Linked DNA regions of Arabidopsis thaliana. The protein of the gene in region 1 purifies or fractionates together with the protein of each later gene. This does not show direct contact. Each region holds a gene or a part of one and is shown in the gene's direction. Other genes may lie near its edges.

Evidence for each region.
Region 2: the proteins of SYP43 (region 1) and EMB2753 purify together in Arabidopsis thaliana (affinity purification with mass spectrometry, with the first as the bait; one large-scale study listed by BioGRID). This does not show direct contact.
Region 3: the proteins of SYP43 (region 1) and AT1G20970 purify together in Arabidopsis thaliana (affinity purification with mass spectrometry, with the first as the bait; one large-scale study listed by BioGRID). This does not show direct contact.
Region 4: the proteins of SYP43 (region 1) and AT3G06610 purify together in Arabidopsis thaliana (affinity purification with mass spectrometry, with the first as the bait; one large-scale study listed by BioGRID). This does not show direct contact.

What each region holds. Positions count from the first base shown.
Region 1 is NC_003074.8:1,681,958-1,689,418, forward strand, and holds SYP43 (syntaxin of plants 43), read left to right. Parts: upstream 1-3,045; 5' UTR 3,046-3,304; coding exon 3,305-3,528; intron 3,529-3,842; coding exon 3,843-4,119; intron 4,120-4,212; coding exon 4,213-4,302; intron 4,303-4,523; coding exon 4,524-4,595; intron 4,596-4,674; coding exon 4,675-4,752; intron 4,753-4,846; coding exon 4,847-4,912; intron 4,913-4,994; coding exon 4,995-5,075; intron 5,076-5,164; coding exon 5,165-5,272; 3' UTR 5,273-5,601; downstream 5,602-7,461. Other genes in the region: AT3G05700 (Drought-responsive family protein), read right to left, coding at 475-583, 848-1,113, 1,215-1,292, 1,580-1,722, 2,291-2,366; IMPA-7 (importin alpha), read right to left, coding at 6,035-6,440, 6,636-6,763, 6,864-6,992, 7,179-7,257, 7,333-7,461. UniProt on the Arabidopsis thaliana protein: Contributes to the regulation of secretory and vacuolar transport pathways in the post-Golgi network, and to the maintenance of the Golgi apparatus and trans-Golgi network (TGN) morphologies.
Region 2 is NC_003070.9:30,230,282-30,237,977, reverse strand, and holds the start of EMB2753 (tetratricopeptide repeat (TPR)-containing protein), read left to right. Parts: upstream 1-2,992; 5' UTR 2,993-3,145; coding exon 3,146-3,196; intron 3,197-3,683; coding exon 3,684-3,762; intron 3,763-4,146; coding exon 4,147-4,229; intron 4,230-4,336; coding exon 4,337-4,486; intron 4,487-4,655; coding exon 4,656-4,771; intron 4,772-5,088; coding exon 5,089-5,194; intron 5,195-5,590; coding exon 5,591-5,662; intron 5,663-5,753; coding exon 5,754-5,869; intron 5,870-6,072; coding exon 6,073-6,205; intron 6,206-6,376; coding exon 6,377-6,454; intron 6,455-6,537; coding exon 6,538-6,591; intron 6,592-6,692; coding exon 6,693-6,763; intron 6,764-6,909; coding exon 6,910-6,964; intron 6,965-7,059; coding exon 7,060-7,155; intron 7,156-7,420; coding exon 7,421-7,549; intron 7,550-7,650; coding exon 7,651-7,696. Other genes in the region: ATXRCC1 (BRCT domain-containing DNA repair protein), read left to right, coding at 815-1,003, 1,104-1,292, 1,383-1,494, 1,665-1,750, 1,843-1,956, 2,036-2,122, 2,250-2,534. UniProt on the Arabidopsis thaliana protein: Auxiliary subunit of the NatA N-alpha-acetyltransferase complex. Required for male gametocyte development, embryogenesis, suspensor development and the formation of the quiescent center (QC) in the root meristem.
Region 3 is NC_003070.9:7,311,125-7,321,610, forward strand, and holds AT1G20970 (calponin-like domain protein), read left to right. Parts: upstream 1-2,776; 5' UTR 2,777-3,047; intron 3,048-3,189; 5' UTR 3,190-3,213; coding exon 3,214-5,455; intron 5,456-5,551; coding exon 5,552-5,790; intron 5,791-5,876; coding exon 5,877-6,035; intron 6,036-6,137; coding exon 6,138-6,317; intron 6,318-6,535; coding exon 6,536-6,730; intron 6,731-6,827; coding exon 6,828-6,926; intron 6,927-7,004; coding exon 7,005-7,625; intron 7,626-7,762; coding exon 7,763-8,122; 3' UTR 8,123-8,797; downstream 8,798-10,486.
Region 4 is NC_003074.8:2,058,142-2,064,534, forward strand, and holds AT3G06610 (DNA-binding enhancer protein-like protein), read left to right. Parts: upstream 1-2,473; 5' UTR 2,474-2,695; coding exon 2,696-2,827; intron 2,828-2,925; coding exon 2,926-2,981; intron 2,982-3,467; coding exon 3,468-3,534; intron 3,535-3,611; coding exon 3,612-3,704; 3' UTR 3,705-4,012; downstream 4,013-6,393. Other genes in the region: AT3G06600 (uncharacterized protein), read right to left, coding at 1,417-1,782, 2,008-2,130, 2,225-2,317; AT3G06620 (PAS domain-containing protein tyrosine kinase family protein), read right to left, coding at 4,692-4,821, 4,962-5,056, 5,501-5,582, 5,676-5,725, 5,814-5,882, 6,082-6,180, 6,382-6,393.

The sequences.
Region 1 (7,461 bases):
GCGCAGCCCCTACCATATCTTTTCAGTGTCTAAGTTTTTCGATAATCACAATCAGTAAATGGTGTAATTTTGTCTCGTTGTTGATTAGTTTGGGGATACCCCAGCTTAACGACTAACGAGCTTCAGAAACTATAATAAAGCTATAAATCTGATTGCAGAAGAATGTGCCTCTACAAAATCTGAAGCCGTTTCCATGACAAATTTTCAACATATATGGTCATTCTTATCCTAGTAAACAACTGGAAACGAATAATTGAACGCGAATACGTGAAATACATACATTTTTGTTTTTTTTCTCATGACCTACAAGCAATTGGGGCGTTAACCGCAGAAGCTAATGTGTTCTTAGGTTACACTCATTCATAATCTCTCTCCTTTATTTGCTCCCCACAAACAATAATTTCGTACTTTGTCCTGCTGAGACAGAACATGGAGTTTCCTCATTGCTGACAAGTTACCAGAAGCGATACTCCATTATAAGCTGTCATCAAGAATCGTAGAGCTCAATAGCTCTCGAACAAACTCACTGCGTTTCAACTTCTGCTTGTGATCCTCAGCTGAAAGAGAAGTTTTTTTCGCATTCCTATCATCCACAAAACCTTCATCAGTGATCCATACATGTCCTATATGGGTATAAGAACTCAACTTGATCAAAGAGTTTCAGTTTGGCTCATAAATCCCAAGTGTGCCCAAAAGTAAAACATTGAAGCAAATGTTCCAATGGAAAGTTATAGACCAAACACTTAAAATAACCTAGAATCATCTAGGTTCAATCAGTCTTGAAATACCAGATTTTTACTAACAAGAGGTTAGGCAAAGTAAAATGATTGAGAAGAAGTAAGCATACTGTTCGGGTAAACACTGAATAGTTGTTTTCTTGACAGGACCCGTTTCTGCAGATATGCATGACTCCGTGGTGAAGAACCCATCAGCAATAGGAGAAATGAACGACGATAACAATGGGTCAGCAGCTACATTGGATGATGAGGAAGACGATACTATACACGAAGATCCTCCAAAGAGGCTCTGAAAGTTTCCATCAGGAAACTCTCTCCTTAAGATCGATAATGTGGAATATGACCCGCCTCTTCTTGGTTTTCTCTTGCGGTGCATGTAATATTTTGTCAAGAACACAACTTAATAACAGACTATAGAAACACTGATAGAAAAGATTGATTGTTATATATGACTTGGGAGAAAGAAAAAAAGGATATCTTGAAAATATTAGCGTGCTGAAGGGTTATATGAGCAACCATGTCAACACCCACCCTAACCGCACAAACTGGACATACCTGCAATAACAATGTTCACTAGATTAAACGCTAAGTTTTCATAGAATCCAAACAAAATCCCCCAAATATCAGATGCAATAGATACAGCTGATCCTACTATTCCTTCGTGAATCGGCTATAAACATGCTATTATTCTCAGTTTTCTTTGTCATATCATCCAAGTAACAACAGAGGAGGAACCAACACCGCTCAGTCTAAACTTTTGAGAATCATGTGATGAATCAGAAATGTATAAACGCATCTTTATGCTTCAAATGGTTGTTTTAAAAAAGAAATAAGAAAGTTACCCCATTTTTGGCTTCCATAGGATGATCTTCATCTATGTGGCAGCAGAGAGAGACAATATCAAAATAGTCAGAACAGAAAGGGCAAGCAAACTCTTCCCTGAACTCTTCTTCTCCATCTATCTCTTCAAACCCTAAGAATGTATCTGCAATCCCAAAAACACATCAACCAAATATTTATACAGCAAAGCTATAAGAAAACAAAGAGAGTAATCAGATATACTAAACCCCTACTCTACCTCTGAGGTTACAGTATATGAAACATATTCTCCTCTTCTGAGGAGAACAATATCTTCACTTTCTCATGTTCATAAACACTGAGCATAGTAGCATCACAGGAGTAATTAAAATGCTAACAAAGACTGCAACTTTGGATAATTTTCATCCATTTTCTCAGGAATCGAGCAAAACCAGAATCAAACCATATTTCATCAGTCAATAAAAATCAATTACAAAAGCCCCCTTTCCTTCATTTTTGCTAGTATCAAGCAAAGCCTAAGGCGATGAAAAAATGACAAAATACGAAATCTTTCAAAACAAGATCGAAGATTTCTCATATATTTCTTAATCTTCAAAACAGAGATTCTAAATCGGAAAGAAAACACAAGTCTATCACCTAAACTACCTTCGCCCATCAATTTTCAGACGAAAAAAAAGATCAGATAACAATCATTTAGAACAGAGGGAGAAAAAATTCATATCATTTAAACTAACCAGATCGTGATGGAAAAGCTAGCTGGTATCTCCTCGTAGCTGAAGCGAGACGATCACTCCATGAATCGGAATCCATTATTGACAAAACCCGGAAAACAAAAGTCGAAAGTTTTGTACTTTTTTCCTTAACAAATAAAACGTTTTGAAGAAAATGAATCTGTATACGAAAGTAAATGATTCTGATTACTGTCTGAAGAAATCCAACGAAAATGGTAAAGACAGATTATGAAGACCACGATTCTGGGTCGGTTTATTAACAAAGTTTTGTCTTTCTTTTTTTCTTCTTCTCCTCGTTTTAATTAATTTTGGATAGAGAGTGAGAGACAGAGGAGACAAGTTCTATAAATTATTTCTTTAAATTTATGTTTTTTATCTAAAAGAAATTAAAACGTTTGCTTTCAGTGATGAATCAAATATTTCGCGGAAAAATAGAAAAACAAGAAAGTGTTGGGCCACTCTATAAACTCTTTTTGTAAAGTCTACGAAAATGCATGCCGTTTTTATTATTTTACCCGACGTATAATTGCATTCAGAAACATGACGTTTCCAAATAAAACGTCATGCTGTTGTCTTTTAGACACGTGGCGTGTTTTCAGTGGTTTTATTTATAAGATTTCGCAGTTAAAGATGCACGCAATAGCAGGAGATTTTTAGCCCCGTTCTTATGTTTTTTCTGACTTGTGACTTTTTTTTTTTTTTTTTTTTTTGTGTCAACTGTTTATTTATTTATCGATTGGATGTTTTAATTAATTTTCGAAATTATAGTTAAATTTCCAATTTGTGAATCTGGGCGCTGTTTTTCTCCGTCGGAGAATTTGATCCCGCCGGAGATCGGCCGGTTTCCGCAGTCGCATTCGTTTCTTTCGCGCGATTTTCGATGCTTTGTCTATGATGAAACCGCGATCCTGTTTAGATCTATAGCTTTCGATCGGAAGGGAAGCTAAAATCCATCTAGACGCCGAGATCTTGGTTAGCTATCACTGAGATTCTTATAGGGTTTATATTTGAGCTGTTATGGCGACTAGGAATCGTACGCTGTTGTTTAGGAAGTACAGAAACTCTCTCAGGAGCGTTCGTGCTCCAATGGGGTCGTCTTCGTCGTCGACATTGACGGAGCACAATTCGTTGACCGGAGCTAAATCCGGATTAGGCCCGGTGATCGAGATGGCGAGCACGTCTCTATTGAATCCAAATCGGTCTTATGCTCCAGTCAGTACCGAGGATCCTGGGAATTCGAGGTACTTCTCATCCTCTCTATCTCTCACTGCCATTGAAATGTTAGAAATTTGGTGATTGCATTAGAAATTAATCACTTCATGTAGCTGCTAGTGTGAGTTGGATTATGAATTTTTGAAGTAAGTTGTTGATTTAGCAGAAAATTTGGTATTATCCTGAGCAATAATGTCTCTTATGGATTTGGAATTGGTAGCTTGATGTTCAGCCTTGTTGTTTCAGCTACTGATTGAGTATTAAGAGAATAGTACTTGAATATATTTCTGTGGCCCAATTTGTTGAAGTTGAAAGTTTTGCTTCTTGTTTTCCAATGTCCTAGTAGAGGTACAATAACAGTGGGCTTACCACCAGATTGGGTTGATGTATCTGAGGAGATTTCAGTTTACATTCAACGTGCAAGAACCAAAATGGCTGAATTGGGAAAGGCTCATGCGAAAGCGTTGATGCCTTCGTTTGGGGATGGTAAAGAAGATCAACATCAAATCGAGACTTTGACACAAGAGGTTACCTTCCTATTGAAGAAATCTGAGAAGCAACTTCAGAGGCTTTCTGCAGCTGGACCTTCTGAAGATTCAAATGTCAGGAAAAACGTCCAGGTTGGTGTACTTGACTTGATGTGTCTCTTAAACGCATGTCCTTTCATTTCCCATCAACATCTCAACTTTAAAATCTCATGTGTTTTATAACAGCGATCTCTTGCTACGGATCTCCAAAACCTTTCTATGGAGTTACGCAAGAAACAGTCTACATATTTGAAACGTTTGAGACTACAAAAAGAGGTATGCAATGACGCACTATACATTTCCTATGTCCAAGACTTCACTATTTGTAATACTGAGTTGCTCTCGAGTTTTTGGATCTGTTATGCAGCTGTACTCTAATAAAATTTTGGTTTCATGAGTTTCATACATTCTATTGTTAGTTATTTCTATGATTTTGAGGACAATTACATTTTGTTTATTCCCAAGAAGTTTTGACTTCTAGCTGTGATGATCATCAGGATGGAGCGGATTTAGAGATGAATCTGAACGGAAGCAGATATAAAGCAGAAGATGATGACTTTGATGATATGGTATGACTCCTTTGTCCCAATCTTATACCCATGATTCATCTTATGTATTTCTGTAATAATGCAATATATGACACTACAGGTATTTAGTGAGCATCAAATGAGCAAGATAAAAAAGAGTGAGGAAATATCAATAGAGAGGGAGAAAGAGATTCAACAGGTTAATGTTTGCAGATCTTACCGCTCTTAATTGTTACCTATTTCATACACAATCATAATCTTGTCACTTTCTTCTTGTTCTGCTTCATCTGCAGGTTGTTGAATCCGTAAGCGAGCTTGCTCAGATCATGAAGGATCTGTCAGCGCTTGTGATAGACCAGGTACAACACTGTAACTGTTGTCTAGCTTCTGAGCCACTGATTCTAGAAATTCTATAACTTGAAAGCAAACTTGTCGTGACAGGGTACAATAGTTGATCGGATTGACTATAATATCCAGAACGTTGCTAGTACAGTCGACGATGGTCTCAAACAGCTGCAAAAGGTAAATTTCTCTTTACAATCAGTGTGTATACTCTCTCACACCATTTCATGCCTAAATTTTTAAGCGGAATTGCTTGTGAATCTCCACAGGCGGAACGTACACAGAGACAAGGAGGTATGGTGATGTGTGCGTCTGTTCTTGTCATTCTCTGCTTCATCATGCTGGTACTCTTAATCCTCAAGGAGATTCTGTTGTGACACAAGGAGATCCCTCATTTTTTAATTCTTTTGAAACGCGAACACCACAATTTTTGCGTTGCGGAGTGTTCTGTCCACAAAATGTCCTGAAGAGAAAAACGAACTGTGTTGTCTATCTCGCTCAGTGGCTTTTACTGCAGCCTCTTCTGCTTTCTTTTTTATTTCTTATGGCGTTTACATAGGAAAACATTATCACTTTTGTATTGAGTGTTTGTAAGTTGGCTTCTTACGAGTTTATAATGGATTTATTTACTGTAAAGAATATATTAACCATGATTTTAAGAATCTGTGGAGAAGAGATCATATAGAACTGTAACGTTTGTTCCAGATTACAAGCTATTAAATAGCCCATTATCCACTAGGCCACTATAATACTACGTACTGACCAACATTGTCATTACCAAATAAAGCAAGCAATGTAATTTCTAATCTCCATTTGCAGTAAATGTTATGAACAGATGAGGTGAGTGTATGTTTGCCTAGACCACTTGTCCTGCATCATCAGTAAGACACCAAATAAGAGCTGAAGCTTTTATATGAGACTGAACCGAACTAAAGTAAAACTCATTAAACCCAGCCGAAACAGAGTTGCTTGGTTTGAGTTTTGGTAAGTTTCTCTCAGCCTAAACAAAACCAAACCAGACTCTCTGATCTAGAACAAAACGTCTACTCCTTAATGGTCGGATCTTGTTATCCTATCTAGTCCATAATGAGTAAGCAAAAAACCAAGTAAAGTTACCAGAAGGAAATATATGTTACCTCTTAAGGTCCGCAGTGCATCTCACTGAGAGTGCCTGAGGATGTTGGCATGTTTGCAAAGTTGTCAACTGGGAAATATATCATGTCTTGTTGTTCTTGATCTTCTTCTTCTTCTTCTTCCATCCAGTATGTTTCAAGAATCTTCACCGCAGTTTCGTAGATGTCATTGTTCTCATGAGATTGCAGGCCCTCGATTTTCTCCAGTCCCTCTGCCTCTTCTATTAGCTGAGCATGTGGGTTTACATTTGTTTGAGGACATTGGTAAATACCTTCAGCGTGTCTTGAGCTGAAAACTTCTCCCACCTTTAATATTTTTTTGAGTGCTTCTAAACAAACCATGACGAGTTGAGTATCTGAGCATGTAAGAAGATCGCACAACGGTTTGATGCATTCTTGCTTTACTAGAAACCTGTCAAGACATTAGCAGATCGCATCAAAGGACCTGCTGAAAACTCTACCAAAAAAAGTTGTAATAGCTTCAATGGAATGAGACCCATAAGATTTAGTTCTGCTGTTTGAACTCTTTTCATGACTACATTTATACTACTGAATATTTGATGGTCTATATGGTTCCTGGTTTTGTATTGAGTTTTGTTCTACGTACATGATTTGCTTGTAAGAGCCTCCAGCTATGGCGTTGCAGATAGCCCAGGCAGCTTCCTTCTTAACGTCGCCCTCAGAGTTTTGGAGCAGATTAACAAGTGCAGGACATATATCAGCATCAAACACAGCCTATGGAAAGATAATAAACAAGTGCAGACATATATTCAGAGCAACATCTTAATTAGACTGCGATTAAAAAGAGAAGTTTAGAGACGGTATATTGGCTAACCTGAATCTGTGACTGACAACCAGCTGTGATATTAGAGACTGTCCAACAAGCTTCTTTCCTGATGGTCTTGTTATAGGATCCCCTTAGAAGATTTACCAAGCATGGGAGCGCTTGAAGATCAATTATATGCTAAGAAAATCACAAAGAACAAAAGTTCTGAGAACTCACTTGTGATAAATAATCAAATACTCTGAGAATTTTTAGTTGACAAAGATAACAGTAACAGTAGAATATCCAGCGCAAAATGGAAAAAGAGCAGGGATTATATTAAAAAGCGATACTAATACTAAATTTTATCTCTGGCCGCATATTTACCTGAGTTTGACTATCGTTTCCAGTTACAATATTTCCAATGGTGCGAAGAGCGGGAGTGATAACTGAAGGCGAACGGTGGCTGTTCAGAAAGCAAACGGCCATCAGAATCTATGACTCTGGATTTTTTTGGTTAGCTAAAGTCCTGAACACTCACATCGAAAGACCAATAAGTCGCGCACAAACATTGGCTTCAATCACGGCTTGTATTTTTTCATTTGAACCATCAGAAAGATACACCAGCGCCCAACACGTGTAAGCCAAGAGTTCCTTGTCGTCTAACCGA
Region 2 (7,696 bases), on another chromosome or scaffold:
ACATTAGAAATCCTAAAAGGGCAGACAAGTTGATGTCCAAAAAAAAAGAAAAAAGGGCAGAAGAGTAAAAACGCGAATGAAAGAGTCAAAGCAAAAAATTGGTAAAAAAAAGCGTGAACGGCAGGATTCGAACCTGCGCGGGCAAAGCCCACATGATTTCTAGTCATGCCCGATAACCACTCCGGCACGTCCACCTTTGCTAGTTGAATCATTTGTTAAATTGAAAACCCGTCATTTTGATCTGATTTTGTACTGTATGTTGACAAATTGAATAGTCTCTGATGATTTCGATCAAAGAGAAGCCACGGGGGGAGCGCTAGCACTTAAAGGTTCCTCGCTTTCTTCTCAAGTTTATAGTCTTCTCCTCTGTGTTGGCTCATTTACATGGGTAGATTTAGTTTTCGAGGGTTTTATGGCGAAGTTCGCGATGTTCTGTTAATTGCAATGTCTTTCTTCTTTTTTTTTTTTTTTTTTTTTTTGGTATTCAATTCCAATTTTCCAGTGTGATTTGATCTGAACTCGAATTCAAATTCAGTGCTACTGAGTTATGTTAAAACCATTGTCCATTGATTTTTTTATGTTGAAATTGAAAAAAGGTTATACCATTCGTTTGTATTAAGATTTGTCTTTCTTAGGGAATGTTTTACATTTTTTGCAGATTTGCACCGTTTTCTCTCTGGCTTTGTGTTGTGCTAGATGCGATGCAATAGCAATATTTTCCTGGAGTTTCAAGTAACTAGTGGCTTAGGTTCATAATAGTGTTTCTTTGTAGGACGAAAGCTGTGTTAGTATTCTCTCCACTGTAAAGGACAAGATGTCTCAGAAGCGAAATCTTCCTTCTTGGATGAGTTCTAGGGATCCCGAGATTACTCCGAGTAAGTCTCATTGTAAGAAGCCTAAGGATGAAGGACCAACCGAAGAGCACAACAGTAGAAATGCCCCTTCCAACAAGTCAGAACACGCCGAGCCAAGTTCAAATACCACTGAATTCTCTAAACTTATGGTTTGTGTGTGTCTTCATGGTCTTGTTGAGACTCAATTATCTTAAGCTGTCATGTTAGTTTATATGCTTTTGTGATTGAGTTGAAGGTTAAACTATGCAGGAAGGCGTTGTTTTTGTACTTTCGGGCTTTGTTAATCCTGAGAGGAGTACACTGAGGTCACAAGCCTTGACAATGGGAGCCACCTATCAACCTGACTGGAACGCTGGCTCTACCTTGTTGATTTGTGCTTTTCCTAACACTCCAAAGTTCCGTCAAGTTGAAACAAATGGTGGAACAATTATCTCAAAGGTTACCTCTTTGACTCTTCTTATAAGGGATTGTGTGCGGATTTGAATTTCTCCTTTTTGCTGATATTTTATATGATTTCACTGTCTCCAGGAGTGGATAACTGAGTGTTATGCGCAGAAGAAGTTGGTAGATATCGAGCAATACCTTATGCATGCTGGAAAACCATGGAGGAAAAGCAGTAGTCCCCAAGATGCTAATCGAGGTAAAAAGAATTATATTGGAAAGGCTTTAGATAGAATCTCCGTTTTAACCATCCTGAGGTTCATCAAATCACCTTGTTTTTACGTTTATGACAAGAGAAAAGCTTTTCTTATTGCACTGCTTCACTCCGATGTTTAGTTGACTCTGTGAACCTTAATTGATTGTATTCAGAAAAGAGAGAACACCTGTCTAAAAAACCAGAGAAGCAAGTAGAGAAAAAAACAGAAACAAGGGGAACACCATCTACCTCATCCAAGGCATGTTTAAATCTGATGATTTGGTTAACCAAAACGAACCGTATTTTGCTCCAATCAATGGTCTATGACTGTTTATTTCCATATGTTCACAGAATAGATCAGCTTGCAATCTTGTGAAAGAGCCATTTTTTGTTACAGAGGTGAAGAAATGGGCCAGGGATGACCTAAGTCAAACCATCTCATGGCTTGAGAGTCAGGAGGAAAAAGTAAGGGAATTAATATGCTCTTTCAAAAGACATGTTTTCTTGATTGTATGTTTCCGTTATTCTAAAGCCATTGTAACAGCCAGAACCAGGCGAAATCAAGCGAATAGCTGCGGAAGGAGTCTTAACCTGCTTACAAGACGCCATAGATTCTCTTGAACAGAAGCAGGTTAATATCTCTGAAGTCTGAACAATAATAGTTGCCGCCTGTGTACATTTTTGGATTTGTTAAACTTTGATCAGTTTCTTTGAGAAGATCATTGGTTGAATTTATTCTCGAATGTTCTTAATTTTAGGACATTGGATCAGTTACAGAGCTATGGAGCTTTGTCCCTCGTGTAGTGAAGGAGCTTGGAAAGATGGAATCGTCTTCTAAAAAGGAAAATTCAACAGCATCAAAGGAAGAAGTTTGCAAACAAGCAAAGTCGTGGAAAAAGATCTACGAAGCTGAGCTAGCAAAACCGGGCGAAGATGAATCGACCTCTCGGGTTGCTTGTGGCTATGACAGTGATATGACCGTTGAGATGACTGAAGAAGAGATCGAACTTGCTTATAGGAACGTTTCTTTAGAGTGTCTTTAGATCAAACTTGTTTCATTTTGCATATGATCTCTTAAGGAATTCCAAGAATTCTTGTTATACTCGGTTTGTTCGGTTTGAGTAGGATGTTATTACTGATAAAAATTTGAAATAATCCGGTCTGCTTGGTTCGGAAAGAATGTTTCTAATTAGAATTTATTTATGCTGGTTTGGATTCGATTGAGAGATGTAATCGGTTGCAATTAATAAGTCGGTTTGATTTGATACTTTTTAGTGTCGATTGACGATGAATTTGATCGGTTAATACAAATTTGATTTGGTCAATTAGGTTCAGATGTCTCCAGTTTTGAACCGGTTTGGTTCTATCCAATTTAATAACCGTTTTGTAATATCAGACAAACGAATTGAAACCGGAAACATGTACCGATATGGTTAGGATCGAAGAAGATTGATTGAAGACAAGACCCTAATTTATTTATACCCTTATTGGGTTTTGTCTTGTGAGAGTTGTGCCTTTCTTTGTTTCGCAGTAGGGTTGAAGCGGATAGTACGCCACCTCTATCTCTCTCTCACCCTATCGAACTCGCGAAGAACATCTTCTTCTTCTTCTTCTCCGTCTTCGTCTTCGCGAGCTCTCTCAGTAGCGCAATAAAATGGGGGCTTCGCTTCCTCCTAAGGAGGCCAACCTCTTCAAGCTCATCGTCGTATGTTCCGATTCCCTCTCTTTCTTTCTCAGTTTTTACTTTGTCTTAAACATGCGATGTGATGTTCCTGGTCAGCAGAAATTGGAATACGATGAGTTTTATCTGCTCTATTAAACCCTAAATTAAGTTAATCGTCAATGTGTTGGGTCAATAGAAAAATTCGTTGACATATGAAGTAAACTGTGCGGAGTTGTGGTTCCTTAATGTGTTAATTTGATGTACCAAGTTCTTAGCTTCAGTTACTTTTGACTATCGGCTATTATTAGACCTCGATTGCTTCTGGGCTTTTTTAGTCGCTCAGGGATTCGTAGTTTACTTTGAAGAACTTGAAAACCAAGCTTTATCAATATATATATGGTTTCAGCATAGATTTTGGGTTTAACCATTATATTGTTCAACCTGCTTTGAATAGTTGACCTTTTTCTTTATGTAATTTTCGCAAGTAAGTACATCATATATAGTTATTCTGAGTAATCTTATAATGCAGAAATCATATGAGACTAAGCAGTACAAGAAGGGACTCAAGGCAGCTGATGCCATATTAAAAAAGTTTCCTGATCATGGAGGTCAGTTTGTCTTTTATCTAATATCTCCTTCTATTCCTTTGTGATTTAGTGCTAATCTTTTTACTGCTATCTAAATACTTACAACTCTATACTACATACATCAACCGAGATCTCATGACTTGTAGGTCTACTAGGCGCTTCGTTGTCTTGTCTATAGTCTTAAGAATCAATCACTGTTAGAATTTTTATTTTCTTTCTTCCTATTAGAGCAAATAAATTAACTTTTTAGTACAAGGGTAATGCTTGGTATTGTTTAGTTTTGTTAGTAGAGACCAGTTCTGTTTCGTGTTAAACGCAGTTCTTGCTTTTTTTGATTTGTCAACCCTTTTCGTTATTCTTTTCTTTCTTTTAAAACTTGTCGCTCTTATTGTTTGTGATTTTCAGAGACTTTATCGATGAAAGGACTGACTCTAAACTGTATGGACCGCAAAACTGAAGCATATGAGCTTGTTCGACTTGGAGTGAAGGTTTGAATATGCTCTTCAATAATCACAACTTTATTCCTTAGTTTCCAAAATGGTATTTTGTTTTCAGGGTAACATAGGATTTATATACTTCAAATTTTTTCATGCAGAATGATATCAAAAGCCATGTTTGCTGGCATGTGCTTGGTCTTTTGTACCGGTCAGACAGAGAGTATAGAGAAGCAATCAAATGCTACCGAAATGCTCTTAGAATAGATCCTGATAACCTTGAAATACTCAGAGACCTCTCACTTCTGCAGGTAATTATGAGAAAAACTAGATTGAGGTGAATTTATTAGGTGTGCCAGTTATTCTCAAAGCTGATTTTTCATACTTTTTATCACTTTACTTTGTGTAAAGCTTGTTCCAATTTTAATCTCTTTTGATGCTTTCAATAGTTAATCATATTGGTTACTTTCTTTTTCCTAGGCACAAATGCGGGACTTATCCGGTTTTGTGGAGACCAGGCAGCAGCTTTTGACATTGAAGCCTAATCACCGAATGAACTGGATTGGCTTTGCAGTCTCTCAGCATTTAAACGCAAAGTATGTTATTGTCCTTGACCCCATAAATCTAAATATGTTAAACCACTTTACTCATTTGAATGGAATGCTAGTTTTTCCTCTTTGGACTATTGGCTAGCTGGTTAATGGCATATGATTTGGAATTATAGTCTTGAACACTTTAAGGAGTAGATAGTGGATGCCTATGTTGGTACGAATCTTGCATCAGATTTTTAGGAAATAATATACCAATGAACATACAGTAGAATTTTCTGTGAACATCTTTTCTTTACTAGTAAAAGCTAGCCATGTATATCAACCTTGATCTCTTAACTTGTTCTATTTTCTCCTGAAACCAGTGCTTCTAAAGCTGTTGAAATTTTGGAAGCGTATGAAGGCACCTTAGAGGATGACTATCCTCCTGAGAACGAGCTAATTGAACACACAGAAATGATTCTATACAAGGTATCAACCAGAAACTTTACAACTATCATATATTGACTGTTGTCTTTCTAAGTTTTTTTCCCTGAAAAATCATGCTTGCCTAAACGGGTTTCACACATTTTTCTCCTATTGACGAAAATACCAAAAGTACAAGTTGGTTGATACAAAATATGGCTTACTGCTTGTATCATACATTTTGTGAATCACACCTGTATTCTTTTGTGACAAAAGCATAACTCTCTCAAGTATAATTGGATATGAACCCTGGAAAGTCTCTCCAAGCCACCTGGAGTGGTGGTGTTCTGTTCACTCTTTCCCCCTGAAACTTCCCTGTTTGAGCAACCTACAGTTGGCATTAGCACATTTTTCATAGCTGTAGCTGCAGGAAATCTCATCTGGATTTTTTTTTCGTTTCAGGTTTCCTTGCTTGAGGAGAGTGGTTCTTTTGACAAAGCTCTTGAGGAGTTGCACAAAAAAGAGCCGAAAATAGTAAGTTCACAAAACTGATGGTTGAATGTATTTGGATAATAGGATGCACACATAATAGTAGATTTAACATTCCTCGTTTGCTTGTTTGTAGGTTGATAAGTTGTCTTACAAAGAACAAGAGGTATCTCTCTTGTCAAAGGTTGGTCGTCTAGAAGAAGCCAATAAACTCTACAGGGTTTTACTTTCCATGAACCCTGACAATTACAGGTTTTTTCCTTGCACTTCAAAGTAGCTCTAAAGAAATTATCTGTGTATTTTTTCGTTTTTCTCAATTGTCACATCTGTTTGCCCTGCTTCATTATCTTTGGCATTGGCGGTCTATACCTTTGCTACTCTCAAAGGCTTCTATATATTTTTGGTACTGTCAATTTTTTGTAAACAAATAAAAAGTGCATTCCTTGCTTTTTCAGATATCATGAGGGCCTCCAAAAATGCCTTGGATTGTATTCAGAAAGTGGTCAATATTCGTCCGACCAGATTGAAAAGTTAAATGCTTTGTACCAGTCTCTAAGTGAGCAGTACACTCGGTCATCCGCTGTTAAGGTGAGATAAGGCATATCAGTGCCTGAAGTGTAATACATTTTCTAGTATCCTTCTACTTCATAGGGAGCTAGTAGTGGCTACCCATGTTTTACCCGTCTGATGTTTTTTTTGGCTGCTGATACGTAAAATTCTAAAACTGGTATTAAGTTATTTTCTATTTCCCCATTTCAGAGGATACCATTGGATTTTCTGCAAGATGAGAACTTTAAGGAGGCTGTAGCAAAGTACATTAAACCTCTTTTGACAAAGGTATCTTTTCATTCCCTTGAATCTCTTTGTTTAGACAGTGGTCTAATTGAATATGTTCTTACATTTCTTGATACTTGTCTCAGGGTGTTCCTTCATTATTTTCTGATCTCTCTTCTCTGTATGATCACCCTCGCAAGGTTAGTTCCCTGCTTTGTCCTTGAGCTTGCTGTCTCCAATTTCACTGATCTGGGCAACACCTTACTTTTTAATATGTTTTAATACTTATTTTGTTACCCAGCCTGATATATTGGAGCAACTAGTTGTTGAGATGAAACATTCGATTGGGACTACAGGAAGTTTCCCAGGAAGGTATACAACTGAATCCATTACTGAAGTAGTCACTGAATTATTGTCATCTATTATATAAGGTCTTACTTTTTACAAAACAACATTGAAATGTTCTCTACGTTAATGATAATCAGTCGATTCTTTTGTTTAATTCTTAATTGATGCAGTGATGTAAAAGAGCCCCCTTCTACACTATTGTGGACATTGTTTTTCTTGGCTCAGGTTCACTTTTGCTATTGCTGTCTTAATTCTCTCTATTTTTTAACAGTTTTACGTTTTGTGTATTTTTATTTTGATACATATTTTTCATAATGCAGCATTATGACAGGCGTGGTCAATATGATGTTGCGCTCTGTAAAATTGATGAGGCCATTGCTCATACGCCAACAGTGATTGATCTGTACTCCGTCAAGGTATCCTTGTTTATCATGGCCAAAAATCTTCGTATAAGCTTTTGATCCATCAGTTTTTTTGGTGTCACTATTGCTGCTTGCACTATGTGTGGAGACACATTTTGAAAACTTTTTTGACAGGATGGCTGGGTTTGAACTTTTTTAGTTATAGCGATTGTGTTAACAGAATTTCTATATTGTGTGCACACCCTGGATCAGGTTATCTTGTTTGTGTGAGGATGTTCTTGTTTCTTCTTAACCCTTGTACTTGTTTCTCTCAACACAGAGCCGAATAATGAAGCATGCAGGAGACTTGACTGCCGCTGCTGCACTTGCCGATGAAGCTAGAGGCATGGACCTAGCAGATCGTTATATAAACAGTGAATGCGTTAAGCGTATGTTACAAGCAGATCAGGTTTGCATCTCGGTTTTGTTCGTATTATATTGTTTTCGTCGATTTCTTTTGATGTTAAGCCTCAACGCCAGTTCTCCATTCTGTAATTTTTTCTGGTGAAGGTGCCCTTGGCTGAGAAAACTGCTGTTTTATTTACCAAAGAGGGGG
Region 3 (10,486 bases), on another chromosome or scaffold:
CATATTCAATTATGTATTTTTGTTTAATATTCTAAAACAAAACTGTTTTTTTAAGAGTTTACCAAGATTAATTAATATCTAAAATTATGCTAAACCACTTCAATTTTTTTTGTTTTAAAGCGATGTTATTTTTGTTACTGCACATATACAACAAAACAAATTACGTATATATAAACAACTAAGAACTCTCGTCCGCCTAAATTCGGTTTAAACATCCATGTAAGCACCTATTGCGGATTAGAGGGAGCATCGATCATGTGACATAGTGTGGCTCCATTATCTTTAAAGTTTTGCCGGAGTTAATTATTTATGACAAAATTGGTGTACTTTATTCCAAGATTTAATAATATTTTTTATTATTTATTTGTTTTACTTAATAATACTTTTTATTCAAAAGTGTAAACACAAAGTAACAATGCCTATGCTGTTTTTTTTCCTATCAATTATTTAACCGCTGCATTTGATTAGTATATATGGAAGGAATATTTAACTACCGATTATCACTTACGGTTGTTAATGACAAATTTTTACAAGTAACAATTGATTTGAAAAAGGTCATTCAGAAAATCATCGCTAGTCTGCCACAAAATTCAAATGTGTTACAATGTATCATAGTTAACTACAAAATCCTTTATTATAACAATAATGGGTTGACCACTATAAATCCTTTATCTTGTTTTATACATTTCGGAGGCTAATTGACATTTTGGTCTGAATATATCCATGCATAATTAAAATTTCGAGTAATATTGTCTCAATATTCCTTCCATATATACTATGAATAAACTATTAGAGATTTTAACAAACCCTAGAAAGTCCAAAATACGTTTTTTGTGAAACATACGAAGAAAATAGATAACATATATGAATAATATGCGTAGAAATATTGACGAAAGTGACGAAATGTAACAGTTTTCGTATCATGTATACGTGAATTTCCATGTCAGGAACCGCTACTAGAATTGATAAGGTCAAAAGATGAAGCTCATCGTGACATTCCACCAACCGAAAGTACTCTCACCGCTTCACGCATGACCCAAATATATACAAAAGTAGAAAAAAAAAAGCACAAAAACAACGTGTAGAGGCGATAATCATAAAATTGAGTTCTTATACCTATACATTTGAAAAGCTTGATATAAAGAAAAATATGTATCATAGACGGATATATATAGCTCGTGTTGCGGCATATATTGTCAGTTAGTTCATGCCTATTGATTGATTTATTTGTGTAGCTGTCTCTTTGACGAATTAACTCAAGTTGGTATATTGTTAATTAGTTTTACCAGCTACTCACTTTATTGTCGATCTAGTGCTTACCAAACTAATGGCAACTACAAATTAAAGTCGTCTCCGTATATTAACGTATTTTTCAATTCTATTTACGCGTATAATATATCTTCGTCAACTATTGTGGAGTAGATCTAAATAAACAAACAGCGGAAAACTAAATAAATGTCATAATATGTAGGCAAGAAAACAAAAGAGCCATTAGATAATGTGTGTCTTGTATTGTATTTATTGAATCTTACCACCGAAACCGACATATCATTAGAGTTTTAGTAAGCACGTCATTTTCAGTTAGTAGGTTGGAAAAGAAAAATTCTCATCTTCAATATGAAAATATAGGATGAGTATCTTTTTATGAACGTTAATCGCTTAGTTGTGGTTAAGTTATTTAAAGTAAATTTTAATCAAGTTAGGCAGTAAAAAATAAATAATGAAGAATAACTATCTTCTTTACAATATGCAATTTAAATTTCTATAGGGAAATTATTTTTCGGTTATAGTAGTAGCACAATTGAATCTTATTGATGTATTTGAATTATACTAAATATTTTCATTGTATCACCCAATAAAAAGCTTTAATGAAAGAGACCAAAATTAGGAGGTTAGATATTACATAATCATCGTTAATATGCAATCAATATAATTCATGAAACGAGAGAGTTAAGAATGAGAACGTCGTTTTCTAATGTGGAACAGAAATCGCATATCCGTTTTCGTAATAGCAAGGCCCATCCCTTCTCACGCGCTACTTTATCCGACCCGATCCAACCTGATCCGGATAATATAACGAATTATGGTAAATCTTTGAATTAGTGTTAATTAATATTGTTGGCTAAAATCTAACTAAAATACTACAACTTGCTATGGTGATGTCAAAAACTGCATTTCATCCTATTAAAGGATGCCACGTGTATTTATCTTATTAAGTCCATTACAAAATGTGATCTTTTTACCTATAATCATGGATGATAATTTTTCAATATATTAGTATTTTTAAACATATTTTGAAAAATTATTAATTCTTATCTCAAACACCACTTTAATCATTAAGAAGCTCCTTTAATTTTCCCTTCGGAGTTAAATTATCCTTTTCACTTTAAAAATTAGAAAGTCTTGCAAAATAAGAAAATTTCTGAAACTTATAGATAATTGATTTGTCATTTTCAACAAAAGTTCTATTAATCCTCCTTTCATAAATATAAAAAGATGAAATCCTTTTCTTCATGGATAAAAGTATATTTGGATATGATATTAATGTTTAATGACGTCATTAAATAGTAGCAATTAGTAATAATGAATAATGATGACAATCATAAACAGAACTTGAAGTTAACAATTTTAACACTGATAAAAACATTTGGATAAATCTCTGTATCCAAGATTTACATGTTCCAACAATATACGCTACTATATATATATTTCTTACTAATTAAAATGAGTTTTAATGCTAATCTATGCTAATCAAAATATGAAAAATACAAAGATATTGGTTAATCGATAAATACAATAAATCAGATTAACGAAGCCCTCTGTTCAACAAAGAGGCTTCTCGATCTCGTCCTTAATTCCTTCCTTCTCTAAGCCAGCTGTTTTCTTCTTCTTCTTCTTCATCTCTCTCTCTCTCTCGTCTCCTACTCTCTCTTTGCTCGGACCAAAATTTCCTCAAATTCCTCCTCTGTTAATCGCCGGCATTGTCTTTCTTACCGATCCGACTATCTCAGCATTCGAAATCTCCGGCGACAAAGCCTGATCTCAAGGTTAGTTGCAAATCGCTTTTTTATTTTCCCTGAAATTTCTCTGATCTCCGTCCATGTCGGTTTAGTTTTTTATGGTCGTGAATTTTCGTTAGAGCTGGCTGCAATTTCGTTTGATCTGATTTATTCTTACGCCTTTGATTAGCTTATCGTTCGTGAAGCGGTGAAAATGCCGGTGGAGGTAGAGAGAGACCAAGGAGAGGTGTCGGTGAAGGTTGATTTTGAGAATGCGACTGAGATTAAACCGGAGGTAGTTGTTTCGGCCACCAAAGAGGACGTGGTGAATGGGATCAGCCATGGTGGTAGTAATAATGGCAACGGGAACGATACCGATGGTTCTTACGATTTCATTACGGAGAATGATACCGTTGGAGATGATTTTGTAGAGTCTGATTATGTTAAGCCTGTTGATGATGCCAATGTGGAGAAAGATCTTAAGGAAGGAGAGAATGTGAAGGTAGATGCTCCAAGTATTGCCGATGATGATGTTTTGGGAGTTTCTCAAGATAGTCAAACCCTGGAAAAGTCTGAGCTAGAAAGTACAGATGATGGACCAGAGGAAGTCGTTGAGATCCCAAAGTCGGAAGTTGAGGATTCTCTTGAAAAAAGTGTCGACCAGCAGCATCCTGGTAATGGGCATCTAGAAAGTGGGCTTGAGGGTAAAGTGGAATCTAAAGAGGAAGTGGAGCAACTTCATGATTCTGAAGTTGGATCCAAGGATCTGACAAAGAATAACGTAGAGGAGCCTGAAGTTGAAATCGAATCTGATAGTGAAACAGATGTCGAGGGACATCAAGGGGACAAGATTGAAGCCCAAGAAAAATCTGATCGGGATTTGGATGTTTCTCAAGATCTAAAACTTAACGAGAATGTAGAAAAGCACCCTGTTGACTCAGATGAAGTAAGGGAGTCTGAGTTGGTGAGCGCTAAGGTTTCTCCAACTGAGCCTAGTGATGGAGGCATGGATTTGGGACAACCTACGGTAACAGATCCAGCTGAAACCATCAATGGATCTGAATCTGTGAATGATCACGTCGGATCAGAACCTGTAACAGTTTTGGAACCTGTTTCTGTTGAAAACGGTCACCCTCCAGTAGAATCAGAGTTGGAGAGAAGTAGTGATGTTCCATTCACTTCAGTGGCGGAAAAAGTCAATGCTTCCGATGGTGAAGTGTTGCCAGACTCTGGAACCGTGGATGTTGTTGTATCAGAGGTAAGCAGTGACGTCCCTGCTGAGACTCAAGCTCTCAATGCCATCAGCTTGGATTCCCAGCCTTCTGGCAAAGATAGTGTTGTTGAAAATGGTAATAGCAAATCAGAATCTGAAGACAGCAAGATGCAATCGGAAATTGGAGCTGTTGATGATGGCTCTGTGTCTGATGGGAGTATAAACACTCATCCAGAATCTCAAGATGCCAGCGATCCTACTTGTGATCAAGGTGGAAAACAACACATATCATCCGAAGTTAAGGAAGTTCTTGATGCCCCTGCTTCAGAAGAAATAAGTGATGCTGTTATTGTTGCCAAAGATAATGGTTCAGAAGCTGCTATTTCTGATGGCTTATCTTGTACTAACCAGCAGGGATCAGAAAGTGATGAGATATCTGGGCTAGTTGAAAAACTCCCATCCCATGCGCTACATGAGGTTGTGTCTTCTGCGAATGACACGAGTGTAATTGTAAGCGATGACACCAAAAGTCAAGGTTTATCAGAGGATCATGGAGTTGACACTAACCAGACAATTCAAGATGATTGTAGTGCTGAGTTGGAAGAAGTTACCGATGTGAATGTAAAACATGCTCCAAATGAGAAAGTTCAAGGAGACAATAGCGAGGGGAACTTAAATGTTGGTGGTGATGTTTGTCTAAATTCTGCTGAAGAAGCGAAAGAATTACCTACAGGGGATCTTTCTGGGAATGCATCACATGAGAGTGCTGAGACTCTCTCTACAAACATCGACGAACCATTGAGCTTGTTGGATACCAAAACTGCTGTCTCTGACTTTGCAGAAAGCTCAGCAGGAGTGGCTGGCGAAATAGACGCTGTTGCCATGGAATCTGAAGCTGCTCAATCAATTAAACAATGCGCTGAAGCACATGTAGCTCCATCCATTATTGAAGATGGTGAAATAGACAGAGAAGTCAATTGTGGTTCAGAAGTGAACGTGACAAAGACTACTCCTGTTGCTGTGCGCGAGGATATACCACCTAAAGAAGTTTCTGAGATGGAAGAATCGGACGTCAAAGAAAGATCTTCGATAAATACAGATGAAGAAGTCGCTACTGCCTCAGTTGCATCTGAAATCAAGACCTGTGCACAGGATCTTGAATCTAAAGTGGTTACATCTACTGATACCATACATACAGGAGCTAAAGACTGTGTGGACAGCCAACCTGCTGAAAACAAAGAAGGTAATAAGTTAATTAAAAATGAAATTAGGCTATGTACTTCTCTTGTTGAGAATCAGAAGGATGGAGTTGACAGTATATATAAATTGTTGTGTTCAGGAAATGTTGTTGATAGAACAGATGATAAAGTAGCCTCGACCGGTGAAGTTTCTGTACTTGATGCTTCTGAAGGGCTTACTGTAGCGGCAGAGATAGAGAAAAGACCTTTTTACTTTCTGCCTAGAGTTCCTAGATATGATGATGAAAAGTTAGCCGAGCAACTGAAGCATGCTGAAGAGCAGGTTGATCAGAAAACACAAAATCGGGATGCTCTTAGAGCGGATATCCAGAAGATACGCGTAAGAAACGCTTTTGAGATTTTCATATGCTAAAACATCTTTGTTCTAAATTTGCCTCTGACATTTTTTGAAATTGTTATTTCTAGGCAATATGTAAGGACTATGATATCAGTTACAAGGCGGTCATGGCAGAAGAGAGATCTGCAAGAAAAGCAATGCATTCAAAACGGCAGGAAATTGAGGCCCTTCAGTCTATGATTAGCCGGGTTAAAAGTGCTGCGTCTGTTGATGATATTGATTCAAGGGTGAGACTCCCAATGATCACATTTCCAGCTAAGTTTTGTTCAAGTTTTTAGCTTGTCTAATTTGATTATGCTAATCTATCTTATTTCTCTGCCTCCAATCAGGTGCGTAATATGGAACATACGATGCAGCACACAACTTTATCTCTGAATGAAGAAAAAGGTTTCATGCGTGAAATAAAGCAGTTGAAGCAACTTCGCGAGCAGATATCTTCGAGTATGGGTACCAAGGATGAAGTAAAGCAAGCATTGGATGAGAAAGAGAAAACAGAAGAACGTTTGAAGGTACACTACAGTTTAAACGTCCTAGCAGTCATCTTTTACGTCCTATCTGCATTTAGTTACTACCCGTTCTCTCTCTACTTTGATTCAACCTATTTATCCGTTCAAGTGCATTTATGTCATCTATTTGCATAATGTCCATTCGGGTGATTTAGTTATCTCATCCTTTATGTGTGGATATCATTTACACATTTCAAAACTGACTTTTCTGGTGATAACAGGTGTTGAGGAAGGAACTAGACGCACTCAGAAACGATCTATCAAAAGCCGAAGAAATCACAAAAGCTGCGAAAAAAAAGTGTGATGGGGAATGGGAAGCACAGAGTAAACTGCAAGAACAGTTCAGAGCTGCTGATGCTGTTCGCCAGGAAGCATTTGTGCACCTACAGGATTTGAAGAAACAACAACGAGAAAAGGTACCCAAAGAGCATCTGAAAGTGGACATAACTTACAAATGTTTGCATCTGAGGTTTTTATTAAATCCTTCACTTTTACTATTTTTTCGTATTGCAGAACAAATATTTCTTCAAGTACAGAGATAATTCAAGGGCAGCAAGTGAAATGGCTTTGAAGAAAGACAGAGCAGCACTGCAAAGCCTTTGTTCTGACCAGGTATAAGCAGAAGCCAAATTTCTACTACGTTTTCAATCCCTGTATGTCGGCTTTGTACTCATTTCAGTCTTTAAGCAGGTGGAGAATTTCATGAATATGTGGAACAATGACGACGAGTTCCGTAAATACTATGTAAAAAGCAACACAAGGAGTACCTTTAGAAGACTAGGAACCCTAGATGGACGATCTCTTGGCCCTGATGAGGAGCCACCTCGGATCACTTATGCTCCAAGAACGGACAAACTTAGAACTTCTAGTGACAGAGCAGAGAAACATGAGGCAGTTCCAGCACAGAAAGAGAAAGTCGTTAAATTTGAAGGTTCAAAAGTTGAAAACAACGGTAAGGAGGTTGCTAAACCCACCGAGCAAAAGAGTCAGACCACTAAATCTAAAAAGGCCGTCAAGCCAGACCAGCCTCCATCAATTGTCACAGAATTGGTTTCTGGAAAAGAGGAGATAGAGAAGTCAGCAACACCGGAAGAAGAAGAGCCGCCTAAGTTAACAAAAGAGGAAGAGGAGTTAATTAAGAAAGAAGAAGAGAAGAGAAAACAAAAGGAAGCTGCAAAGATGAAGGAGCAACATCGGTTAGAGGAAATAGCAAAAGCGAAAGAGGCAATGGAGAGGAAGAAGAAGAGAGAGGAGAAGGCAAAAGCAAGAGCTGTTCTCAAGGCTCAGAAGGAAGCCGAAGAAAGGGAGAAGGTAAAAGCATATTTTTGTCATTCTGTTATCCAAATTGGATTTCGATCAGTCTCTCTAGCTAGTATGTTTCTGTTGGGACAAAAATTATTTTAAATACTATGCCATGGATCTGTTGAACAACTCTGTCTATTTTGTAGGAACGAGAGAAGAAGCTAAGGAAGAAGGAGAGAAGAAAGGGGATTTTTACATCAGAAGAGACAGCAACAGAAAACCCAATTCCGACAGCAGAAACTGTAGTCGAAACCCCAAGGGAGATCGAAACTCCAAAGAAACAAACCGTAGAGGAGAGTCAACAAATGAAGAAATCTCACAAACCTTCATCACAGTTTCTGAAACAAAACAAGTCAAAATCGGTTCCTCTGCCTTTAAGAAACCGAGGAAGCAAGAGAAAACTGCGGCAATGGATGTGGATTGGACTCATAGTTGTGATCATCATCGCATTGTTCCTTCTCGGTAATGCCAATCTCTCCTCTCCTGCAAATCTTTGGTTTACATAAGAATAAAAAAAGAAAGAAGAAGTGGCACACTCTTACACACTTTGCCTTGTGCTTTTTATAGTATGTTTTTTTTTGGCTCATCTAAATTAGTTTGGATTGTGGTTGGTGCTTTTATTCTTTTTTCTTTTAAGTGGGGAAGCTTTGATTCATTGATTTCACACGAACGACAGACATATAGATTGGTTTTGCTTGCTCTGGGTATATATGTCTAAGAAACACGGTTCCAGTTTTTTTTATTTTCTAATATACCATAATATATTTATTAAAGCAATAACTTCTTCTCATCTTTTCGATTGATATATAAACTGGTGGAAGAGTCTCTTGTTTTCTTTGTTATGTCACTAGAAGTTCTACGATTGTTCGTTCTTGTCACATAAGTCATCCAGGGGTGGTTCCTCATCAGTGCCAAGAGATCGTCCATCTAGACTTCCCTAGTCTTTTTAAGGACAGAGCAGAGAAACATGAGACTGTTCCACCAGTTTCAGCACTGGATTCAGTCTTATATTTGCCCCTTCATCAAAATCATCTTCGGGATCAAATTTTGGAACAGTCTATGAGGCGCACGAGAACTGCTAGTCGCAGTAGCGCTACGTTTTGCCTTGACAACCGCAGTAGTTTGACTAGAACGCCATAACCAATTGATACGACCGAATGCTAGCATCTTAGCTTAAAGATGACACAATACCCTAACTTCTTTTTAACCTCCTATGACTCGTATTATCCTTTTTTAATCTGACATGAACTCTTTGTTTTGACAGTTAGAGTTCAGAGTTTAAAATTTTGATAGAATAACTAACGGTAATTGGTGAAGTAACATGAACGGCCAAATGGGGACTCAACAATGATCCGAAATGTTGACTCAGCGACTAAATTTAATCCCTTCACATGACCCACAAACTATTTTACTAAGGATAAAATAGTTAGTTGAATATAGTTAGTTTTGTAACATGAAAAACTTAGATTAGAAAAATAGTTGCGTTCAAACGCAGCCGAATCTTTTTACATTCACAAGACACGTGACATATGCTGCCGCTCTGCTGCAGTACTCTTTTTATTTAGTTTTCATGTCCTTCTCATTAACATGAAATCGAAAAATGTCAACTCAAAATAAAATTAAAAAAATGTAAAACCATAATTTGAAACAAAAAAAATTCCCGTAAAGATAATCGTTATATGGGAACGAGGGTTCTTGTTATATATAAAGAAGTAAAGCTCCTTTGAGAGGCCAAAACAAAAACAAAACAAATTAAAACTTTCTAATTGCTAAGCATATATAAGCCACTCAGTACTCACCATTGTTTTCAAATTTCAGATGTGCTTGAAAATTTATTTCCTCAAAGGCTCAAATCTTTAAAATGAATGGTTTAACATTACATTTTATATATCTTAAATCTTTTTTCAAAACCTTCTAAGGTTTTCTATTAAAATGATTTATATGTTTGTTTTTTTGTCTTAAATTTAAGTTGTCAGATCCTAGGTTTCACATCACAGAACAGTCCATTGAAGTAAGTGGTTATGATAATGGAAAATTATTGTACTTATAATATAGTCATGAGTCATGACCACGTCCAATGAACCTTACACTCAAATTCAAACAAAAAAATGTTAGATCTGTAGTACGAAAGAGTTACTCATGAAATTTCTTCTTTTAACGTACAGATGCATTATTGGATGTTTATTAAAACGTAAATGTTTTGTTTGATTTATTTTCAAGTTTTATTCACAAAATTTAAACGTAGTTACGTGTTAAGCGTTTCTTTTGTAACGCGCGATATCCTTCATCTACCATTAATATTAGTAGTACTTGAATAGTTATGGATCAATTTACATATATATTCCAACTCTATCAAACATGAAAAAGATTCGAGGGCATATATATTGTTTATATACGTGTAAAGGTACTCAGAATTGGCAAATTATTTCCTCTCACACAAAAAAAATCCAATCATCTTGTGAACCTTTAGCATAGAATATATGGAGATGGGACACATATATACATAATACAACACTGATTTATATTTCAATTCATATGAGAAATAAAAACAAAAACCCGCCGTTGTTCGTGGTAAGAAGCATGTTGCATGAGGATGTTGAGGGATTAGGCTCAATACATTGCACGTTTGATCTGTGATTGGACTTTGGACCACCATGTGACATTTGACTCTCTTTCCTTTTTCATTTTCCTTTTTCTTCCAACGGTTCATGGTTACATTACATTTTGTTGCCCGATTCGGTTTTGCATTATTTTCTTATTAGTATAGAATATAAAAAGAAAAATAACACTTTGTTCCAGAAAATGTGGGAAGAGAGTTTTGTCGGGGCGACACACTAAATACAATCGTCTCAGTTCTATTATTTACATCA
Region 4 (6,393 bases), 380 kb from region 1:
CAAGAAAAATGATATAGACCATTGATTACGTAATACACAAAATATGGTCATTAATCAATGTCAAGACACAAGGACAAGACTGATTAAGAGAAACAAACAAAACTCTTCTAATTGGTTTCCACTAATTTAAATCACTAAGCCGGATTTTTCTTTAATCACACAGAAACTTTACTTCAAAAGTAAACCAACAAGAGCTGCTTCTCTTTAATACATGGCATATATTAGTATATTCTCTGGTGTTTAGTGGCCTACTACTATATTAATCTCCAGTAGAAAAGCCAAACACCAGTCTGGATTATTCTGTCATTCATTTTCTATATACAGGACTAGTTTCTAAATCCTAATCTTTGTACCATTATCCATAATGGAGAATAAACCTAACCTAATACCTCGAAGAGTTTATCCTAATAGTTGTGAAAGATCAAATCAAGTAATTACCCAAAAAGCTTAACAGGCTGGACTTTCCATAGGATTTGTCTGGCTTAATATACAAAAATGTAAAGAACAGCTTGCATGAGAATGGAAACAAAGGCTAGCACATGTCTTGGTAAGATCTATATAACCTATCGATTTGAGATGCACATAGAAACAAGCATGCTATATATATGAAGCAAATAAATTAGGTGGGGTTGCATTACATTGTATCAAACAGAGCTAAGAATGGAACACATCAAGGTATATTAGAACCTAGCAACTTAAATGCTACAGAAGCCTATGTATCAAATGTGTGATGGAGAGAAGACTTTGCATTTGGATAACACAAGTCACCATAGATGAGACGATCAAGTGTCATATCAGTTGTGCCAATAAAATTTTAGGGATCAATCATTGGTTAGGACTTAGGAATGAGACTAACTAGCTGCTTATGAGGCCTACTTGCAAACTCACTCTCAACCTACCAATGGATCTAGTGAGAGACTACTTGGTTTGGGCCTAGCATGAGCTAAATTTAAAACATTCAATCAGAAGGCTTAGGAAGTTTAACATTCAACAAAAAGGACACAGAGAGAAGAAGGTAGCATTTCAACCGCATAAGACTTCACTGAGATATCTGTACTTACTTTTACTAGAGAACGTGTGTTGCAGTTATTTTTAAAGAGTGAATTCTAAAAAAAAAATAAAAAACAATGTTAGAACTGATCTTTCCTTTGGTAGACACATCCCAGTAGTTGAAATATGTTAATAGTGTTGAAGTTCAAGAGGTGCTAATAGCCAACTTAAACTAAACAGCTGTGACCTTCATTAGCAGAGATGCAACATAAAATGACAAACAGGATAAATGTGCTATTGAAGGCAGATCAGTATACAACCCCAATCTTATGCAACGTTGAAATTATTATTGTTATCATCCTATGAGAAGGAAACCAGAATCAATGTGACAAAGGTAAGAAACGTAAAGTGAATTACCTTGAAGAATCATGTTGGAAGTGGTCCACGGTAAGCACGTTCCTCTCCTGAGCTGAAGAAGACCACAATCGCAGCTAAGATAGCCCAAAGAATGAAACTCAAAAGCACAATGCGGAATTTCACAGTAACAACTCTATCGACCCAGTTAATTTCTGCAGAATTGTCAACTGAACAGATCAGTTTTTTCAGCTCATTGATCTCCCCACGCAAGGATTGCACAGAAGCGGGCAAGTCCACAATCGACTGGATCCGATCAGTAGAAGACGTGTCAATACGAGCCTCCACACTAGTAATGGTTGAAACTGGAGAATCATCAGCCGGAAGACAAATCTCTGGGGTTGACATTAAGTCTAGGCTCGATCCTTGAATAACACTCTGAGGAGAGAACAACATAATTCGAGCCAGTAATCAGTACCCAGACACATAATGGCTAAAATTGAGGTTTAATCTTTCCAATTCGTCATCAAGCGCAGACAAAATCGATTCAATTTTCGAAAATTTAACATCTAATCTTAACGGATCTGAGCGTTTACAAAGCAACACAACGAAAAACTTCGATGGAAACTAAACCTAACTAAAACATTGGAGCGAAGCATATACCTCAGCCTCGGAATCAGAGATCGCACCAGAAATCTGAGAGATCGGACTAAAATCCATCGGATCCTTCGTGCTTTCAAAAGATACGTCGGAAAATGTTGCGATCTGTCTCTTCTCCGTCGTAACCTTCAGTTCAGAGAAGCATTGATTCGAATTTGAGTAGAACGATGTGGGAAGAAGAAAACAATGGCGATTTTAAGGATCGATCTAATAAAATTACCTTCCGATTCTTCATCTCAGGATCCTTGAGTCTCTTAGCTCCGAGTTCTGATGAGCGCGCGAAGCTTTTCCTGGGAATTTGAATTTCCTTCATCTCTCTCCAATGTTTTCAAATTTGGAGCTTGTCAGTTTTCGAAAATGTGAAATAGTGAGTGAACTACAAAACTATCAAGCAAGATAATTTTATTTGTAGTACGCTTCTTACATGGGCTTAAGGGCCGATAACTATTTTTATTCAAGGCCCAATATAGATCGTTCTCGCTCATCGCAAAATTAACCTACTAAACCGGAATTCGGTTCGGTTGTGGTATTGTTTAGCCGGTTTGGTTCCAGCCTCACCCGATAGAATTAGCCTTTAGGGTTTCTAACGTCGAAGCTTGAAACACTATCGAACCTCAAAATCTCTGTTGCCGGAAATTTTCTTCACCGAAACTGAAAGAAGTCGAAAGAGAGAAGAGAAGAAATTGAAGCAATGGAGGGAGCAGAGGAAGCTGGGGCTGAGATAGCGGTTGATTCAAAGGACTTGCAGCAACAAAGCAAAGCTTTCGACAAGCTCACCGATCGTGTCGAGGATCGCCAGCTCGATTCCTCTCGTGTTCAATCGGTATGTAACTCTTTCGTGTCCTGATTTCTGAAAATATTAGGAATTCCGAAATTTTTTTAGCTCGATTAGTAAATTGAAAAGTCGGTATCGTGTTTCAGGCTATGGCTTCGATTGCTGCTTCTAGGGAGGCTGATCTGAATGCTAAGAGGTTGAGGTAAAAACTCTAAGCTTTTCCCGTGTTCTAAATTCTGAAATAGGAGATTATTAGCAATGCTTAATGAAGCTGTAACATAAGTCAAACTCGTTTGTTTCCATTCCTAATTCAGAATTAACTTGATTAATTTGATTACTGCGTTACACTTGTAGTTCAAACTGTAGCTAATCTCTCTGTACAAATTGGTGTTTATCTGTTTTTTTGGGGCTTGGCAACACTTAAGTCTATCTATTTAGACCAAGAGTGTCAATTTTGGAGAATCTGTTTGTTTTTTTGAAATTACTCACATCTAGATAGTATTGACGCCAGATATCAGTTGTGCTGTAATAGCTTTTACTAGAGAAAACACAGCGAGAATGATCAACAAAACAAGTAGAACTTATTATTAATAAGTGATTGAATGTGATTTACGAGTCAATATCATCTTTCGGAAAAGATTAGACTTTTCGTTGTATTTGATTGACAAAGTATTGGAACTTTATGCAGGGAGAAAGAACTGGCCTCTGTGAAGATCAATCCTGCAGATGTTGAGTTTATTGTAAACGAACTTGAGGTTAGCTTCTTTTTATTAGCTTCTTCTATGCATGTGTTCACAAAGTTCTGAAGTTTGTCACCATTGTAAATGAGCAGATAGAAAAGAATGTGGCGGAAAGAACTCTAAGGGAGCACAAAGGTGATGCGGTTGCTGCGACTAGGCAATTGCTTTCACGATATCCTCTATGATGGAGCAGGACCATTCTTTACTTCCAAGGTTTTTTGTATGTTTGAGAGGTTGAGAGCAAGTCTCCTAATATTTAACCGAGTTAAAATTGTCTATTGCTGAACCGATCTCTCTGAGAAGCCCTGAATACAGTTACAATCGATTCTGGGGTGGTGTTTTGTGGTTCTACCTGAAGTTTGAAGTTCAATCTTATTATCAAGATATAAGAATGTGTTCTTCGTTTACTTGGTCTTGGAGCTGTAAAAAGCTTGTGGGATAATCATGGAACATTGGTACAGTACTACTTCAAAGCAAAACAAAATAGAAATACATTCAAGTTTCTAGAAAAAGTTTGAATTAGACTGATGCACAACGAGAACTTCCAAACGAAGGTATTCATTGAAACAAGAAGTTTGTTGATCAACCTGTAGGTTAGTGATAACTTCTAATTTGACAACCTTTCAACGTAGGTATAGATTACATAAATCCCCCAATAAATGTCTGTTCCAAAAAAAATTGGTGTTACAATATTCTCTCAGAACTAGAGTTCCAAACTCCCTTTTTTTTCCTCTGTACAAAATATCATCAAATGGTTCTACCACACTTGATCGCATAAATGTTTAGTAAGAATAATATATGCAATCCAATCTCTTGCCCAACCTACCCAACTTTGCAACTTCACATCAAATCCCTTTCACGCACTTTCTTTAAGCTTCCACCAGAGAAATAGAGACCAGAACCGACCACCAGAATTACAGTAACTAACCTGAGCAATACGTTTCTTTTGGTAGTTTGTGTAATGACCCAAATACATCACAACACAACTCCCATAATTTCAGTGGCAGTCTCTGCTTATAGGTCTCCTCCACGCTGTAATTACACATCAACCCACTGGTACTACTGCTCAAACAGACCCATTCTCTATCTTTCTCTGTTCTCATGAACGTCTTTGAGTCTTGAAGCATGGCATTGAGGAACAAAAAGGTAAAAAGGCTCAACTTTTATTTTAATTAGTTGTCCTTGAGAAGAGAATTGTCAGATAACGCAGCACGAGTCGCTTGGAACTGTATCATATACTTTCTTTGCAGGTCTCTTAATTTATCCATCAGTTCTTGGAATGTGGGTCTCAGCTTTGTATCACTGCCGCGTGGACAGACCAAAATAAAAACACAAATCAATGTCAGCATCAGCTATGTAACATGTAGAACACCTAAATCAAGGAGAACCATAATAATTAAAGGCTACACACGGATTATGCAGTGTTCAATATGTTAATGTACCTGTGCCAACAGCTCTCCATTAATGAGATCCAACGAGGATCAATGTCTTTTGGGATTTCCAGCCTCTGGTCCATGAACCCCACAGCTCCAATCACCTGCACATATTTCAAATAAGCATCTCGTCATACTTGATTCGTGTATAGAGAGAGGATATGCAGTGAAACTGAAATTGGAAGTTTTCGGCAATCAAGTCGTGCAATGGAATTAGGAGTTAGGACATCAAATTCGTAGCGATGTGGTATAGTATGACTATATATAAAGAACACACTTCACTTGTATCTTTACATTTTACAGCAAGTACAATCGTTTTTATGGTTCCCACTCTCTTAACTCTCAAGTCTTAATTAGTACAACGGATTTTAACATATCGACCCTGGAACTATTCTTCTGACATAAAGATTCTAGTTATTTGTTTTAGCATAATTGACAGAACATAGAATGTAGTTTTTAAGTGAAACTTTCCCGATTTTTAGATTTCTAGGACAAAGTGTCACTTGGAGACGCTTTCTTATTATTTCTCTATCTATCAAAAATGATACCTGCATAGAGTTGAGAGTTTCCCATGGGATCTTCTCGGTGGCAAGCTCCCATAATACTACTCCAAAGCTGTAAATGTCAGATCTGTATCAACGAATTAGAAGAGCTAATTAACGTTTAAGGAAAAGAAGAACAATTAATCAAGGGAACTTAACAAAACAGAATACAAGAATATACTTCTCATCAGCAGACTCATTTCGAAGAACTTCTGGTGCCATCCATTGAGGCTGCAGAACAAGTAAAAATTCAATCAAGATCATTGTGAGAGATTGACTAGAAAAGAAGATTGAAATCAATAAGAGTCAGGTATAGTACCGTTCCCTTCCCAGACTTGCTGGTTAGGTATGTTTCATGCTTGATACGCGAGAGACCAAAGTCAGCTACCTGTAGGGATATCCAGGTAAGTTGACGATGTTACTAGTTCCATTTTGGAGATCTGAGTCTTACTATTCCAGTTCATTCACATAAGACGATTTATTTCTCTAAAGTTAAATTTTCGTTTTAGAAAGCTATGTAGTGATTCACTGATCATCATCCATCTAGATTACAGGAAAGTAAAAGTGTCTCAAGGTGAATATCTTACCTTAACGGTCCAGTTCTTGTCTACCAGCAGATTTGATGACTTCAGATCACGATGGATAATGGGTGGACTACAATGGTGAAGATAATTCATACCGCGAGCCTGTGTGAAGAATCATGTAATATGCTGGATGAGATGTACGTTGACTGAGTCAAATAGGAGGGGAAAAGAATGATCACAAGACAAATACAAAGAAGTAAACAAATAGAGTAGCTCAGACTTAGAACATTGTCCACATGCAACTGCCAATGCTCATAGAAATGGAAAAGTTACATGTCAAGTGAATGTGCAACTAATACTTACAATGTCCAAGGC